4 linked regions of the Saccharomyces cerevisiae S288C genome follow. The gene in region 4 interacts genetically with the main gene of each other region. Each region holds a gene or a part of one and is shown on either strand. Other genes may lie near its edges. The genes, in order: SDS3, GIM5, RPD3 and VPS72.

What was found.
Region 1: mutations in VPS72 (region 4) and SDS3 together harm fitness more than expected from each alone (negative genetic interaction), as found in Saccharomyces cerevisiae (5 studies listed by BioGRID, with this or other methods).
Region 2: mutations in VPS72 (region 4) and GIM5 together harm fitness more than expected from each alone (negative genetic interaction), as found in Saccharomyces cerevisiae (8 studies listed by BioGRID, with this or other methods).
Region 3: mutations in VPS72 (region 4) and RPD3 together harm fitness more than expected from each alone (negative genetic interaction), as found in Saccharomyces cerevisiae (5 studies listed by BioGRID, with this or other methods).

What each region holds. Positions count from the first base shown.
Region 1 is NC_001141.2:201,339-205,371, forward strand, and holds SDS3 (Sds3p), read right to left. Parts: upstream 1,922-4,033; coding exon 938-1,921; downstream 1-937. Other genes in the region: KTR7 (putative mannosyltransferase), read right to left, coding at 1-705; phosphopantothenate--cysteine ligase CAB2, read right to left, coding at 2,218-3,315. UniProt on the Saccharomyces cerevisiae protein: Component of the RPD3C(L) histone deacetylase complex (HDAC) responsible for the deacetylation of lysine residues on the N-terminal part of the core histones (H2A, H2B, H3 and H4).
Region 2 is NC_001145.3:80,364-84,221, reverse strand, and holds GIM5 (Gim5p), read right to left. Parts: upstream 1,948-3,858; coding exon 1,932-1,947; intron 1,849-1,931; coding exon 1,373-1,848; downstream 1-1,372. Other genes in the region: UTP14 (Utp14p), read right to left, coding at 1-1,132; DNA repair protein RAD10, read left to right, coding at 2,109-2,741; YML096W (putative asparagine synthase), read right to left, coding at 2,736-3,858.
Region 3 is NC_001146.8:17,279-21,626, forward strand, and holds RPD3 (histone deacetylase RPD3), read right to left. Parts: upstream 2,025-4,348; coding exon 723-2,024; downstream 1-722. Other genes in the region: PEX6 (AAA family ATPase peroxin 6), read right to left, coding at 2,263-4,348. UniProt on the Saccharomyces cerevisiae protein: Catalytic component of the RPD3 histone deacetylase (HDAC) complexes RPD3C(L) and RPD3C(S) responsible for the deacetylation of lysine residues on the N-terminal part of the core histones (H2A, H2B, H3 and H4).
Region 4 is NC_001136.10:1,424,097-1,429,575, forward strand, and holds VPS72 (Vps72p), read right to left. Parts: upstream 3,112-5,479; coding exon 724-3,111; downstream 1-723. Other genes in the region: VPS52 (Vps52p), read left to right, coding at 1-592; VPS60 (Vps60p), read right to left, coding at 3,335-4,024; 3,4-dihydroxy-2-butanone-4-phosphate synthase RIB3, read right to left, coding at 4,258-4,884; PAC11 (dynein intermediate chain), read right to left, coding at 5,092-5,479. UniProt on the Saccharomyces cerevisiae protein: Participates in the catalytic exchange of histone H2A for the H2A variant HTZ1, an euchromatin-specific factor, leading to chromatin remodeling and changes in transcription of targeted genes. Indirectly involved in vacuolar protein sorting.

The sequences.
Region 1 (4,033 bases), on a different chromosome or scaffold from region 4:
TTTGGCCATCTCGAAAAAGGGATCATACGAGATGTCACAAAAAAAGTCCACATCAGGTTCTATTCTCCAATACCATTCATACTTGGAAACTAATGGATGTTTATAAAAGATCCCGGAGTAAAATCGACACATCTTGTGATATGATTCCATATTACCATACATTATACCGCGATCGTTTTGGTCTTCTAATGAAGCCTTAAACTGCAATGAATTACGAACCTTAGCAGGAAACTCCCACATAATTTCATCAACAGTGCCAAACTCTACAGTGGCATTAGTTGCAGCTTGAATTTGGTCCTTAAAATGATCTGTAAAGGGGTCATCATTCAAGAAAACGTACGGATATTTGAACCACTTATTGAAATGGCCCTCTATACTTCTCATAGTTTTCAGTACGTCTTCTATTTCTTCGTTTCTCGTTAGCATAACGAAAGATGCGTTCATTTTGGAGTAAGCAGGATTTTGCAAGTACAGCTTTGTATCAGTGCAGCCCCGGAAAAATGGCTCGTCTTTGTCAGTCGAATAATCCTGTAAGGAATAAGGCAAATTATTTGGATCATGTACAATATCTTTTGCGAAAAATGGCCAGGTCCCCATACAGTAAAGTATGGCGAAGATACATCCTAAAAAGAGGAAACCATATCGTTTTTGTCGACACTTATCCAGCAAGAACCTTCTGACTTTTGGATTCAATCTTATAGCCATGCTAATTGCATCTAATTATGATGTATATTCTAGCCCTTCTTTGGTACAACTGTGCCTATAATCACAGATTGTTAGCCTGATGTATACAGTAAATTTTAGCCAATTTTTTTTTTTCGTTTTCCACTTGTATCCGAGAAAAGAAAGCAAAAACAAAAAGAGCTCACATTGAAATATAACCATCTAATGTAATATAATACAAAGTTAAAGTGGAAGGTTTGCAGCATAAAATAAATTAGTCAGACCTTAGTCTGAAAGGAGCCGGAGGCTGACCTGTTAATTCTCTGATCAAGGAAATATCCTCTGTGACCTCATCTGGTTTCAAAGACTGTAAAGGTGGAGCTGTTTTGGTGGAATATCGTTGAGCACCACGGTTTTTTTTCTTTTCATTCCCATTAGCATTGTCTTTGGGGTTCTTTTCGCCAAACAAAAATGCATATAGATCAGTACCTTCATTTATACCTTGTAGAAAATCTGAGTCAGAGTTCATGCCTGACTTGTAGGTTAGGTTGTTGAAATGGGGGAATTGCGACCCTTGTCTAGAACCATGGCCATTACTTCCAGAACCATTACCAGTTTGAAAATCAGATTCATCTTGATTGTTGTTGTTACCTCTCGTGTCTTTAGAAGCATTCCTTCTCCTTAGCGTTCTTCTATCGTTTCCAGCTCCCGTGTCAGTAGCACTTTCGTTTGCTGTATCTCTTCCATATTCGTTGGACGAAGAATCCCAACCACTTACTGTGTGACTTCTCGTGTTCTTCTGGTATTGCGGTCTGCTATAATTCATGGCATAGGAGTGCACATTGGCCACATCCATTAGTAACCTCTCCTCCTGTAATTTCTTTATTTTTTGCTCTATAGACGAATACAGTCTTTCTTTGCATAATTTAATGAGTTTCTCGTGTTCAGCCTTAGCCTTTTCAATATCTTCTTGAAATTCGATACCGGAACGAGAAACACGGTACTCTTCAAACAGGCGCAACCTGACTAACTCTAGATCTCTTTCTTCCTCCAAATCTCGTACTTGGCGGGCATATTGGCCATTATCACCTTGATGCAGAGAAGTTAAATCCGTTTGCAATGCTGTCAGTCTATCTTTATATTGATTATCTCTTTCTGAGTAAAAATTTTGATAAATCTTATTAACTTTAGATTCGATATTAAATCTTCTTTTGTCCTTGCGGGACAAGTCCTTGTTACTAACCTTTTGAATAGCCATCAATCTTGAAGACAATGCACACTGAGCTCTACAGTTTCTCTTGTTCTCTTAAAGCTTTTCCAAGGGTTCATTTTAGCTGAAAAATTGTTTGCGTTTTTTCTTCCTGAAATCTCAAGCGAAATGATCAATACATAAGCTAAATTAAATAATGAGAAAAAAGATACCTGAAAACATAATTAAGGCATAGAAGAAAAAGATTTGATAAAAGATAAATTTTCAGTTCAATAAAAAGGTTTACATACATCTAATTTTTTTTTTTGACGCAAATTTTTTTGATTACAGACAAGAGCTATGTTTTATTTCGTAGCTAGCTTAGTTTTCGAATGCGCCACCCATTTGTCATGGCGTGCGATGACTTCTGGGATTATCATCTCTTCAATGCTATGGTGTTTTTCATCCAAACGTACCCAATCTCCCTTTCTGTTTTCAGGGGATACGAAAATGACCTGTTTGTTTCTTGTCTGTAAAAGGTTTCCGATAACCAGTTGATGGTTGTATCTATCCAGGGCTTGTGTACATTTGTAAAGCAGCATGGATTCATCAGTTTCTAATTTGAACGAAACGATCATCGCTTGAGTGGCCCATGATTCCACTAATCTTCTCAAAAACTTAGGGACAGGGTCAAGATTCACAATCAGTTTACCATCAGGCGTAGTCCTAGTTGTACCTTCAGTGTCATTATTTGCTCCCATCTTACCGTTGTCTCCTGATTGAATCTTGTGCTGAGGTAGTCTTGAATATGGAACAAAAAAATCACTGACAGCAGCAGCTAAATAAAACAAGCAACCACTATTATTCAATAGCTTGGCTATACTTTTCAGTGACCATAAGTATTGGTTGACCGTGGTGAATGGTAGTAAAAGTAGTTTCTCCTCTTTCTCCATATACTTGTCATAAAGCTTTTTGTTCTTCAAAACATTCTCAGCAAATTCAGGTTTGATTTTACCTTCAGAATCAATGTAGTCCAAGAATAAAGTATTAATGCTATGGGAGAAGGACCTATTATACGGAGTTAATGAGAATTCCCTATGTAAGAAAATAACACTATATCCGTTCGCTAAGAACTGTTCAGCACTCGATGCACCACGAGTACCTGCAGAAAAATTATCGATAAAACGTACTGTATTGTTTTCCAATGGAACAGTAGTACCACCAGAGGTGATAAGAACTATTTTGTTCCTTTTCAGGGAATACTGCAAATCAATAAACTCTTTAGCGTCCTTAATCAATTCATCGATATAGGCAGGTTTAGGGTTAGTTTTGAAATATTGCTCTTCTTCAGTAGTGTAGGCAACGGGAAAGAGCTCTTCCTTGATTGTACGATCAATTGCATGACTTATTTCAGTAACAGACGTATGAATTTGAGGTCTGTTGAGCACGGGTAGAGGTGGCATTGCTATAGTATGAAGAAAAAAAGGAGTGTCTGCTGCTAATCTACACAGTTTATGACAACTAATAAAAGCGTTGTGTGCGTAATTGTCTTAGCCTCTTATACAGATGTCCTGTTGATGACAATGCCTTTAAAAAAAAAAAAAAAACGTTAACAATAGGTCACTCCTCCAGTTTTTGTCGTTTGGCGAATTCGGGTCATCGAATTCTTCCCTTGCCAATAAAGTTGGTGGAAAATACCCAAAACATCGCCTACATATCAAATCCGCAGATTTCAGGCACGCAATTTAGAGCCTACCATCTGTTCATAGTTAGGTTAGGCCATAGGTGGTCATCGTCGCCTCTACTTTCTTAGCATAATCAGGTTTTTTTCTTGATTTTTTTATCATAAATTGTAACTCCGATTTAAGTAGAAGTGAAAAAAAAAATACCCTGTTAATTGTCACAGCATCACTTCTTCCTGTTACTTTCAAAGCTGTAAAGTGTTAGCATCTTTGTGCAAGAAGTAATAAGAATTTAATTGTTAACAGGGTTTGTAGCACTGGTATACGTTTTTCCATATCATGGAACATGTTGTATCTCAAAATGAGATATGTCAGTATGACAATACGTCACCCTGAACGTTCATAAAACACATATGAAACAACCTTATAACAAAACGAACAACATGAGACAAAACCCGACCTTCCCTAGCTGAACTACCCAAAGTATAAATGCCTGAAC
Region 2 (3,858 bases), on a different chromosome or scaffold from region 4:
TAGTCCTCTTTCTCATCTCCTCGGGTGTCATTTTAGCAGTGCTCAACTCTTCAAACTTTGAGTCTTTTTCTGGGTTCGCTAAATTACTCTCTTGAAGAACTTGATCTACCTTCTCCTGTAATTCTGTTTGAGGAACATCTTGAGTTCTAGTGAAAGCCGAGGCGTGGTTATGTTCGGTGGGTTTGTTCAGCGGGAAGATTAAATGATCAGCCCTTCTGTTCTGTTGGACGATATCATTCCACTTACTCACTTCTTGCCTAGAGATCTCGTATGCTGCCTTACGATCGTGTCTTTGTTGGATACGTTGTGGTAGCGGAACTTCATACGTCGACGACTTACCCTTAAGCAAGTTAGCGTTTTCAATAACTTGCCTGTCATCAATAACGTTCATCATATCCGTCAAACTCAATTTCCCAGAAGCTCCACTAGCTGCATTTGCAGAGGGCAAAACATACTCATTGGCCTCACCTGAGCCATACGTATCTAGTCTCTTTGGAGCTTTACTTTTGGTTTCATCAATCAGTTTTGAGGTAATTGTATTCAATTCGATGTCTTCTTCATCTTCAGATATTTCGTCGAAGGGATCCTCTTCCTCTTCATCATCTTCAGATTCCGATTCGCTTTCTTCGGAACTGCTTGATTCGGAACTTATATCTGTATCTTGCAATTTTAATTGTGGAGAAGCGTCTTCGTCATCATTGCCGTTACTCTGTGCGGTTTTCTCATCCATGTCCCACACTTGAGACAGTGGCATCAAATCTTCTTCATCAATGGAAGTATACCCACCTTCATCCTCTTCTTCTTGGTAGTTTGCATTCTCCTTCTTGTCACGAATAGTTTGTGAGAATTTGGAATTCAAAATGTCATAGTCATCATCAGAGCCCAACGCTTCATCAGAGTTCAACTCCTCATCTTCAAACGACTCAGAATCGATATCATCTTCATCACTGTTAGTGTCACCTTTTGACCTTTTTAACAAGTTGACAACTGTACCATTACGACGAGCATCATGTCTTTTGTCATTGTCGCTGGAGTTATCGAATTCACCATTAATTTCTCTCTCAGCAAGTTGCAAAGCATCCAAAACTCTTCTAGAACTCTTGGATCTGCTCTTAGATTTCTTTTTTGCCATATTTAAGTTAGCTTATTTTGTCTTGAAGCCTCTTTTATTAGTATATAACAAGATGTTATTGAATGCACACTTAATGAATTTTTTCAGCTCATCGCCATAGGAATTTGAAAAATTTTCAATGGCCTTTTCCGGAAAACTACAAAGTGACGATAAATAAAAAATTACGTTGCATATAGATAAACGTATATCAGATGGCTACAAATGAGATATGAAAAATCGTAGGAAAAGCAAAAGAGTTACCTAGGCTGTAGACGACTCCTTTTTTTGTTGCTGCTGTTGTTGTTTACTCATCGCTTCATGCTGTCTAATAGCGGCTTGTCTTATTTGGGCCTCGATGGACAAGGAATACTGGGTCTTTTCCTTAATAATATCTTGGATCTGTACAGATTCTTTGTTAAGCTTGTCTACTTTCTTTTGGTAAAATGCGATTGCTGCTTCAGCGCTCTTTTCAACGTAATATCCTGTACCAATGTCGACCATGAATTTCTTATTGTCTACAATCTTACCTGGGATGTATAATGATGCAGATGCTGGAACCAGTAGTTTTTGCCCTTCATTTCCTGCTTGGGAGACTGTTTTAATATCATCAATACATTCTGTGAACTTGCCCTTAGCCATGGTTAATGCTTGCAAGGACTGTGTGAAATGCTGCAATTCTTGGTCGAATTGCTGTTTTACAGCATTCAGCTGCTCGGGATTTAGTTTAGTTAAATCGACTAAGTTTCGAACATGTAGTAACTTAAAAGTTAGTAAAGTGTCTGTACGGTGGCAACAACGAAGGAGCTATTCATTTACATACTTTTTTGAGAGGACATGGCTTGATTTTTACAGTGCTCTTTCTTGTTTGGGTCACAGCAAGATTTTCATCTAAGACACTTTTCTATTTAAAATCGTTAGAACAAAAAAGAAAATTGTAACTTATGAGACAGCCACGCAACACAAAAAAGGGCATAAACAAAGTTGGTTATCCTAGAAGATGAACAATACTGATCCTACTTCATTTGAAAGTATATTGGCTGGTGTGGCCAAATTGAGAAAGGAAAAGAGTGGTGCAGATACTACTGGATCTCAATCGTTAGAAATAGATGCATCAAAACTCCAGCAGCAGGAACCGCAAACATCAAGACGCATAAATTCAAACCAGGTCATAAACGCCTTCAATCAGCAAAAACCGGAAGAATGGACCGACTCAAAGGCTACAGATGACTATAATCGAAAGAGACCCTTCAGGAGTACTCGACCGGGAAAAACTGTACTAGTGAACACTACCCAAAAAGAAAATCCACTCCTGAACCACTTAAAGAGCACCAATTGGAGATATGTATCTTCAACAGGAATTAATATGATATACTACGACTATCTAGTTCGTGGAAGAAGTGTACTGTTCTTAACTTTGACTTATCACAAATTATATGTCGATTATATCTCTAGGAGAATGCAGCCCTTATCTAGAAACGAAAATAATATACTGATATTCATAGTAGACGATAACAACTCTGAAGATACCCTTAATGACATTACAAAACTATGTATGTTCAACGGATTTACTCTACTTTTAGCATTTAATTTTGAACAAGCTGCAAAATATATTGAATATTTGAATTTATGAACAATTCCTATTTTCTTTTAATAAATCTGTTCCATGCTTATTACCATCCTTTGTCATTTTAGCGCTTTTAGCACCGAATTGAATGGCCCTTTTTGGTTCTGATGATATTCCATCCAACTTCAAATACTGCGAGGCAACTTTTCGAAGGATTAATTTGTTAACCTTGAAATTAATGGGAATTTCTGCTGTAGATAACTTTATAACATATTCATCTAAAAATGGGTATCTCACCTCCACGCCATTATGAGCTATCACTTTATCATCACGATTCAGGTTGCGATCATAAATGTTGTTTATTTGCCTTGTAAGTTCCTCCACAAGTTCATGGGGTGGTTTGTTGGCAAACTTGTGATATCCACCGTAGAGTTCGTCTGCTCCCAGTCCGCTGAATAACACTATCCCATGGCGCTGATATGGCGTTCTTTCCCCATTCAGAGAAGTTAAGAAACCTCTACCTCTCGACGCAAAAAAAAAAGCAATGGCTATAGACAAGTCCATTTCAGTCTGTTTAGGATACATTAAATTGATAACAAATGGCTTCCATTTTAAATACTCATCATAAGGAACGTCAACTTCAACCAGTTTGATATCAACATTAGGATATAAGTTTTGTAAAGTCTTTGCACTGTTAATGGACAGTTTTCTATCAGGTGTATCACTGGGAAAAAGACCAGTCCTGGGGTTTTCGAAGGATACATTTAGAAGCTCTATAACTGGTTTTCCACATTTATAATCATTTTCTTGCAACACCTCGCAGATCAACGCTACTATTACTGAACAATCAATTCCTCCTGAGAATAGTACCGCAATAGGAGAGTTTTCAATATGCCTGGGATGTATGGACTCTACCCTTTTTTTTACAGAATCACGTAGCACAGCATATAAATTTTTAGACACCTCTGACAATGATGTGAAATTCAGATCTATCTCTGATGTCACTTCGTATGGAAGATGTGACCTCTGATTGGAATTTAACAACTTAGTTCGTGTATCATATTCATAAATAACTCCACCTATACAATCTTGAAAGGACCCAGCAGACCCCGTTACACTAGCGACGTACAATTCGTTGTCTGGAGTGACCGAATAAGACAAACTTCGCCTGCCAATTGGATCT
Region 3 (4,348 bases), on a different chromosome or scaffold from region 4:
ATATGTTAAGTAAAATACAAAGCCGTTCAGCTAATTGGTTAGCTAGTTAATGAAGAGAAGAACAGCATGCATCCTTGACTTGGAAATATTGTCATACTTAAATATGGTTGGAAATTTTGCCCCCCGGTTTCCTTGAATACGAACAATGCAACTTATTTGAGTCTTCGTACGAGATCTGCTTACTGGTTTTGTACAGCGCTGAAAGCGAATTTGAAAATATATGCAATTAGAAGAGAGTGAATCAGATGAGGATAGGGTTAATACTGTAAAATTATTACCAAATATTGAATGACATATAAAAGTCGTAGTAACCGAATTTGTTTTTTATTATGAATAAAGACTTCTTGTTTTCGCATACTTCGATGATTTAAGAAATTAAAAGTCATTTACCCAGGCGTGATTATAAATTATATTGGCACCGCTTTATCAACAGCGGTGGGACGAGACGTTTAGATAGTAATTACAATAGAAATACAACTGTTTCAATATTAAAATATCTCTAGTATGTAAATAACACATATAGGCAATTTTCTTCGAAACGTATGGGACGCGGTTGATGTATGAACGGAACGCATCAATTAAAGGTTTGAGAAAAGTCTTTTGCAAAAAAATTGAGTTTGCACTTCTCATACACAATTGGATAGCGTCTTAAGTGCCTTTTATTCACTTTTCTTCTTTTGTTTCACATTATTTATATTCGTATATACTTCCAACTCTTTTTTTCAATAGAATTCATTGTCATGCTCAACATGTAGGTCCCTCGCATATTGCGAACCACCCTTCGTATCTTTAGCCTCGGCAGAATCTTCTTCAACATCACCCAAATCTTCGGCATCCCTAGGTGTGTGATTCAACTGAACACTAGGGGCATACTTTGTGTTTTCCAAATTAGCAAATATATTGGTCATTACCTTGTCAAGATATTCGGGAGTATTTACATTGAACATATTCGAAGGTCTAACACTTAACTTATAATCTGGACCGTAATATTCGTAATATTCATTGTACGGTAAATCTTTATCCAAGACAACGTTATTTAGTAGACCTGTTTCAAAGCACCATGTCCTTGCAACATTTCTCATAGTATAGCCTCCTCCACCAACAACCATCATTGGGATCCCAAAGGATTTCACATAGTTTACACAATTAGCATGGCCTTCCATGGAAAGATTAAAGCAACCAAGACGATCGCCGGACAAGGAGTCCCCACCACACTGTAACACGACAGCAGAAGGTTGATACCATTCCATAATTTTTTTTATCACAGGTTCAAACACAGATCTATACGTAGCATCGTCAATACCGTCTCTTAATGGCACATTGACCGCGTAGTTTTTTCCTGCACCCACCCCTATATCTCTCAGTTCACCTGTGCCAGGGAAAAACTCACCATATTTGTGGAAAGAACATGTCATGACACGATCCGTTGTATAAAACGCTTCCTCTACACCATCACCATGGTGCACATCAATATCAATATACAGAACTCTGGGGTGGTATCGTAGTAGCTCAATAATGCCCAGTACTATGTCATTTAAATAACAAAACCCAGAAGCTTCCGATTTTTTTGCATGATGCAAACCACCCGCATAGTTGACAGCAACATCACATTTGCCTCTATTCAGACGAGCAGCTCCTTCCATAGAGCCACCACCAGATATGCTACAGTACTCATAGAGCCCATCAAAGACAGGACAATCATCTCCGACATTAAACTTGACACTTTCTCTTTTAAACATTTCTAAATTATCTGGAGTAACCCTCGATAAAAAATCAATGTATTCATCAGTATGGAACTGACACATTTCTTGTTTCGTTGCCGGCTTAGCTCTGTAAATTTCCATCTTCTTGTACAAGCCATAATTCATAATAAGGGAATGTGCCATTCTTATTCTATGCGGCTTCATCGGGTGACCTGCTCCATATGCATAGTTCCCAACGTCTGCATCGTAAAAATATGCAACGCGTCTTTTATCGCTTGGCTTGACCGTGATCGGATCAAAAGGTGTTGCTTCATATACCATCTGCACGGATATCGAGTTGTAGCCACGAATGTTTTGTATGGCGCAATTGTTTTATGAACCTTTATGGTTATTACTTCAAATTTTTATTATGTATAATCAACTACTAGTATCTTTTCTGTTTTTCCCTTTCGATAGATACTATGAGCCGGGGAGGGTAAGTAAATAAAAAGATAAATTTCAAGGCAAAATATGGGACATATATTTACAAATTTACCTATACGCTCTGAGTTGATATTACTTAAGCACCTTCAAAATTAGCTCTCACCGCTTCATAATGATTCAGTTCAGCCCGCGACACACTTGGGGTGAGCTGCTCTTGTGCTTTCAAGAAGTCTTCCATTTTTACGACAACCTTAGTATCCTCTTTTGTCGCAATCTTATCAAACCAGCGACGTGTAGAAATATTCTCTCCCGTCAATTCGTTATGCTGAGAAACTTTTTTTTCTACCATGCGTGCAATTCTTGACATGGCGTTAAGCATTGCATCTGAGCAGAGAGCATAAAAATCTGCCCCGGTGTAATTAAATGGACATAGCTTTGCCAACTCAATAAGCTTTACGTCGTTGTCGAGCACGAATTTGCGAGTCAGAGCCTCTAAAATATTCAATTGTTTGGTATCCGTATCCGGAATGCCTAAATATAACAATTTATCGAATCGTCCTGGTCTTAGTAGTGCTTCGTCCAATAAGTCTGGTCTGTTTGTTGCTCCGATAACAAATACACCGTCAGCGTCGGTACTCATACCATCTAACTCTGCTAGTAACTGTGAAACGATACGATCCATAACACCACCCGAATCACCTTGATTACCACGTTTGGGTGCTACTGAATCGATTTCATCGAAAAATATGACACAAGGTTTAGCCTCTCTCGCCTTTTGAAACACTCTGCGCACATTAGCTTCACTCTCACCAATGTACATATTCAACAGTTCAGGGCCTTTAACACTAAAAAAATTTAAAGAAAAATTTGTTGCAATGGCCTTAGCCATTAGAGTTTTACCTGTACCCGGTGGACCATAAAAAAGAATACCGCTTCTCTTTTTCATACCTGAGGTAAATAATTCAGGATGTTTTAGCGGCATGTCTATTGTGTCCAATATTTCACCTTTAACAAAATCAATACCACCTATATCATCCCAAGTTACGTTAGGGATTTGTGGGGCACCAATCGAAACCGAGAATTCGTTCCTAGCTTTCGAAGTAGCTTTTGATAAATCCTCCTGAGTGATCAAAATTGATTGCGGAAGCCATCCACACTTCTTTGATTCTTGGTAAAAACGCGCAGTAGCCGTCATTCGTGCCGTTTCCACAATTGATTTGATGTCTAAAGGAGTTAAACCAGCAGAATATGAAGAGAGTGATGAAAATGAAATATTATCCATGTAAGATACTGGAACCTTTTGTTGAACATCTCTGTTTAGTTCATGTGAAGATAAGTACCACTGAAAGATACGCAGTCTCTGTGCTTCAGACGGAACGGGTACGAGAATCTCAAATCTCATATGTGATCTAAAGCTGGAAGGCACGTTATCTATGTTATTTACGGAGCCAACAAATGTAGTTCCTGGGAATTTAAACGTAAAATCGTCCAGAAGTTTAGACATTTCGAAGTTTATAGATTTTTGTAATTTGATTGCCTCTGGATCTTGATTAGCGTTTACGTCAAGCAAAATTGAATCCAAATGAGCCAAAAAAATCACAGCAGGTGATGCGTACGGTAGGACATTTTCACATTTAGCCCTAATGTAACCAATAATCTTAGATGTTGAATCCAGTTGTCTTGAATTTGAAGTGAGCGAAAGGCAATCTATCTCCAGTAGATGTATACCAAGATATTTTGAAGCAAATCTCACCATTGTAGCCTTGCCCACATTGTTTGTAGTGGAATGAAGTAACACAGAGGCATTTAGGGTGATTCCCCTTTGAGAACAATTGAAGGAAGTTTCTAATATGTTAACCAATTGTCTTACATAGGGGAAGATATGCAAATCATAGTAAAAAGTTTCAGCAAAACCGTAATATCTCTGAAGATTGGATCTACTCAAGGGTAATGGTCTTCTGTTAGTGATATTAGTTGTTATTAGCTTCGTCCGATTGGGATCAATAATAAAATGAGAATTATCTTTAGAGAAGCAATCGAGCTCTGCGCTTGTGACAAAGAACCATACAAGGGAATCGTTCTTGTAGTACTGCCCTAGCTCATCTTCGTCATCAGACTCATCATTTTCCTCTGCTATATTGAGATCAGCCATACTTGAATCAAAAGCGATTGGGATTAAATCATTTTGACAAAGAATCCTTTTGCTCTCGCTAAAAAACTTT
Region 4 (5,479 bases):
TGAATCAGAAAGGAGAGGAATACCGTCTATGTTTGATAGTTTCTTGAATGGTCAATTAATTCAATTATGGCCTCGATTTCAGCAATTGGTCGATTTTCAATGCGAGAGCTTACGAAAAGCGGCAATAACTACAAATGTGGCAAAATATGCCGGCAACTCAAGCACATCCAATAGTAGCCCTTTGACCTCACCTCATGAGTTAACTGTACAGTTCGGTAAATTTTTATCAAGCTTCTTGACGTTGGCAATAACACATAAGCAGTCCATAGACGAAAGATCTGAACCCTTATACAATTCCATCATTAGATTAAGAAATGATTTCGAAACAGTCATGACAAAGTGCAGTAAAAAGACGAAATCACCAGAAAGATTTCTGGCTACAAATTACATGTATTTATACAATAACCTACAGCAATTGCATCTACATTTAAATATAAATGACTCGGATGCACAAAACTACAATTTTGATTCTGCTGAAAATGTTGGTACGAAAGTTGCGAATGACGACGATAATGATTCAAGCGTACCACTAATAATCAGAGAGACCGAAAATCATTTCAAAACTTTAGTTGAAGCTTTCACCAGAAATTGATGAATGTAACGATTGTATAAGACATGGAGCGTATAAAGTATATTTTTATGTAAAATGATCTTTATGATTTCTTATTTTGTGTGGAATATAGTCAAATGTTTAACGACCTACCATTATATAGTCTGTCTCAATTAAAATCCTTCAGGAACACCTTTTGCAGGTCTTTGACTTAAATCAAGGTAAATACCGCCGTTTTTGAACCCAAACCACTTGAATCTCACTTGATCGTCACTATCCTCATTTGTCGTTTCATCACGCTTGATATCTGACCTTCCCTCCTCCTTAGAAATAGGATCTTGAATCCGCTGAATAATTTTATAAGCTTCCACATCAGAATAAGGCACACCAGTCCTTGGATCAAAGTACTGACATTCTTTATTTGTGATTAAACATTTTTTTCTTATACCATTGGCTAAGAAGACACCCGTTGGAGGCTGTGTTTTAATTTTGATTTCCAAATCCTTATTTATCTCTGTGTTGATTTGATGGACTATTTTCTTATCGTATTCCCCAAAAGATGGGAAATTTGCCAGAGCTGACAGATCAAGTGATATATCTACGGTAGGAGACGGTACTGAAGACTGAGGAGGTGATGGTAAAATGGAGTGGAAAACAGTTTTCATATCTTGTGGACGCTGAGTGGCGGATAACCCATTTGTGTATGACCATCGATCACCAAATAAGTTTGTGTTAAAATCTTTTAGATTTGGAGGAGCATTAGGAAAATCATAAAGTGTAACAAAGTTCCTTGAGGTTAATTGCTCAGGCCCTTCGTAGGTCTGTGTTGATAAAGAGTTTTCCGCGGAAGATTCATCAACATTAGCTGTATCTTTTTTTGAGGGTGACTCTTCAGTATCGATTATGGCCACTTGCGGATGGTCGGTAAACGTTACTTGTTTCAAGAAAGAAACATCAGTATTGCTTTTGGTCTCTTGTGGTACATTATGAGATAAGTTCTCGATGCCTTCGGTTTTCAGACAAGGTTCAGGCTCTCCTTTTATATCCGTATCCGGAGAGATCAATATAGTATCTTCAGTGCCAGTGGAGTTTGATGGTGTAGGTGTTGCAGAATTATCCCTTTGTGAGACCACTTGGGCAGCAGGTGATGAGTTTTCAAAAGTATTTTCCCTGCTCTCGAGAGCACTTACCATTTCATCTTTAATTTCTTCATTATGTAAATTTTGTATCGGTTCGCCTACATTGGTAATTTTTTGCTCATTAGTTATTATATTCTTTTGTGGTTGGCTGTTGGGAGCTTCATCAACGGTACTCTGCTTGTTTGCAATTGCGTCCAATGTAACATCAGGTAATGCTGTTGGCTTTAATTCGTCTGAATTTACTCTACTCACCGCTGCATCTGGACTCGATTCTCCTTCAACTGTATCGTTAGTAGAAGTTTCCTCAATCCTTTTCTGGTTGTGTACAGATGAAGAATTCTCACCCAAAGAATTCACGTCGCCATCGTTCTTTATCGATTCTTCACTCTCCCGCTTTTTATCATCTGATGCGTCCTGTTTTCCGAGATTTAAATTCTTCTTTGGCTTCCTCGGATATTTTTTCTTCTTCTTATCACGTTTATTCAATTGTTCCTGCCAATATTTACGATCTTCTAACTCCATCGCTGGCGTCATTAGCCAAGCAGTAGATAAAAATTGCAGTATAGTCTCATTTGGCTGGAATTTCTGCTTTTGTCTTTTCTGCAAAGCTAGACGATTCTCCTTTTTCCAAACTTCTTGTTCCTTGAACTTATCCAGTGACAAAATATTCAGCTTCTCAGTCTCCTTGGCAATCCGTAGCCTCTCTTCTTGTGTCAGCATATGCTGAGACTCCTGCTCCTTGTGTTTCCTTATTCTTTCTTGTATAATTTTTCTCTTTTTTTCAGCTTTAGACAATTTCTCATAAACTTTCATCGTGTTTTCCATTACCGATGATCTTTTAGAAGTTCTCCTTGTATTTAATAGTAACGTCTCTGCGTTTAATTGTTCATGGGTATGGTGCGATCTTGGTATAGCTTCTCCTGACTTAGGCTTAGGTTTTTGTTTTTTGATTACAACGGGACCCTTCTGTAATCTCTTGTTTCTTTTCTTTCTTGAAAGTAGTTCTTGTCTTCGTATTTCCTTTTCCTCTGCATCTTCATCATTCTCGTTGCTGGAGTCCTCAGATTCGCTACTGCTGAACATTAAGTCATCGGCTGCTTGCTCACTTGAAGCCTGAGAGGGCTCTTTCCTTATACTTTGAGTCTCATCTTCTTTTTCTTCCCCTTCATCATCGTCATCTTTTGCCATCATTTCGAAATCTTCATCATCTTCATCTTCCTGAAACAACAGCCCTATTTCATCTTCTTCATCATCATTACCATTCTTATAGGAAGAAATTTGTCTTTTGGTAGATTCTATATCTCTTAGCTCCTGCTCCAATAGTTTTTGTAATTTATTACCGGCATTAGACCTCCTAGATCGTGTTTGTATAATAAATTCTGTGTTAGTATCTAGACTTTTATCAGCACCTTCATCACTCATCGTGCACTGTGAATTTGCTTCGGTTTCACTTCTATTTGTATTCATTAGACTACATGGTGCTTTCTGCTTACTGTTTTTTCCATCAGGATTTTTTTAACAAAGAAAAAAGAAAACTACTAAAACCTAAATAAGGTACATATTTTGGCTTACCAGCAAAGAGAATATAAAGAAAAGGGAAAGGAGAGAAAAATTCTGAATATGCAACTTTGTGTGCTTTTTGTTTTCACTGAGCGCTTTCTAAAGCTTTATTTTTGTCTTCAGTATCTAAGTTTGGCTCTTCATCAATAAAAGCCGGTGGCGCATTCGCACCTAGTAAGTAACTGGGCATATCGTTACCTAATGAGTTTTCGCTGGTTGGCAAAGTGAAATCCTCTTGTGCCAGAGCATCCAGCTCTGCATCCAGCTCTGCATCACTAATGTCGTCGAGCTCGCCACTGTTATTATTCATTGCCAAGACTTCTTGCAGCTCATCCCCTTGTTCTATTAAATCCAGCATCTCATCCTGCATGTCCTGTAGTTTGTCGATATTTATCTTGCCGTATTGAGCCTTCATGGCATTGTTTGTTTGCTTTAGTGCGTTTATAGTGATCATTGTGTTCTGTAAGTTATCATTTGTTAACTGGGCTTGCGTCATGGACCAGGATTGAGAATCTAAAGAATCCTTCATATTTTCTAACTGTTTACGTTTATTTAAAATCTTCAAAGCCTGTTTTCTTAACGAGGGTTGCTTGTTGTTTGATCTTTGCAAATTCTTTTGAATATTTTGCAGCTGGAAGTTTAACTGGGCGATTTGAGTATCTAACTGGGATATTCTGTTCGATAGTGATTGTTGGGCCTGATTCATGGACTGATTCGACTCTTGTAAGAGCTGATCATGGCTCTTTTTGTTCCCATATCCGAAAATCCTGTTCATAATTGCCTTGAAGAGTTTATAACTGTGTTTCAACCAATCTTGGCTTCCTCCTATTACTACTTTTTTTAGATGTACTTTTTCTCTTGCTAAAAATCCCATATTTTTGTATGGCTGAAAAACATAGAGGAAGAAAAAGGTCAAAAAACAAAAGATATATACAAAGTTACAAATATATACATGTATATATGTGTGAGTCTGTTGTGATAGAATGAATGGAGAAAATGTTCACCAGATTATTTCTTCAAATATTGGGCCAATTCTTCGATGGAGATCAAAGGAATGCCATGTTTCTTACCAAACGCTTGGCAGTCATTTAATCTCATCATAGTTCCTTGTTCGTCATCGTTAACCAATTCGCCAATAACAGCGACGGGACTTAGTCCACTTAGTTTACACAAATCGACACCGGCCTCAGTGTGGCCTCTTCTCTGCAAAACACCGCCATCAGCGGCTCTCAAGGGACAGATGTGCCCTGGTTTTAAAAATGATTTTGGCGTAGAGGAAGAGTCTGCAAGAGCCCTACAAGTCATCGACCTGTCGTGAGCAGAAATACCTGTGGTAGTGCCTTGGGCTACATCTACAGTTATTGTGTATGCAGTTCCATGCCTGTCGTCATCATTGGATTCAAACTTCATGCCTGTTCTCAGTAGTGGAAGGTCCAACTTATCAGCAATGGCATTCGTCATAGGTGCACAGACGTAGCCTGAGGAATGGCGTACAAGAAAGGCCATTTGTTCAGTGCTGACATTTTCAGCAGCGCAAATAAGATCACCTTCATTTTCACGACCGGCATCGTCCATAACAATTACAAACTTATTCTGCTTGAAGTGTTCTATAGCTTGATCAATTGGTGTAAACATTTTCGACGTTGCCTTTTCTTCTTTTCCTTTCCTTTTTTTTAGCCTTCTGCTTTTTGTTGGAGATATTTACATTCACCTCACATATATACGCCAATGAAAATTTCACAATAGCACGTATATTAATAATAGCCTTGCTTTTTTTTATCAATTCTCGCTAAGAAATTACTCATCAGGCAATAACCTATGCTCACCCGCCTCGAAGCGGCGTTAGGAGATAACAGTGGCCGTGTAGAGGGACGTCTTAGCATCGAAAGCCCAATTTACAACAACGAGGCGACCATCTGCACACCACACTTGACACCGTAGAGTGCGACTATTTTCCCCTCCATTGTTTTTTTCGAGCCAGCGTGCACGTAGTACGGGCCCCCCTAACAACAATGGCGCCCCTATGATAGCTTTCCCTGCTCGCGCGTCCCACAGCCGCACCGTCCAGTCCGTGGAACATGATAATAGAAGCATTAGCCGCCGAGCATCGTCCCAATGAAACTCTAACCCGGTTACCCTCGTAGAGTGGTTTTCTGCAGGTTGGAACCCATTGTTGTCCAAAGAGAGGTACAGCGGCCCAGGTTGGTCCCAGAAAACCTTGTATATACCA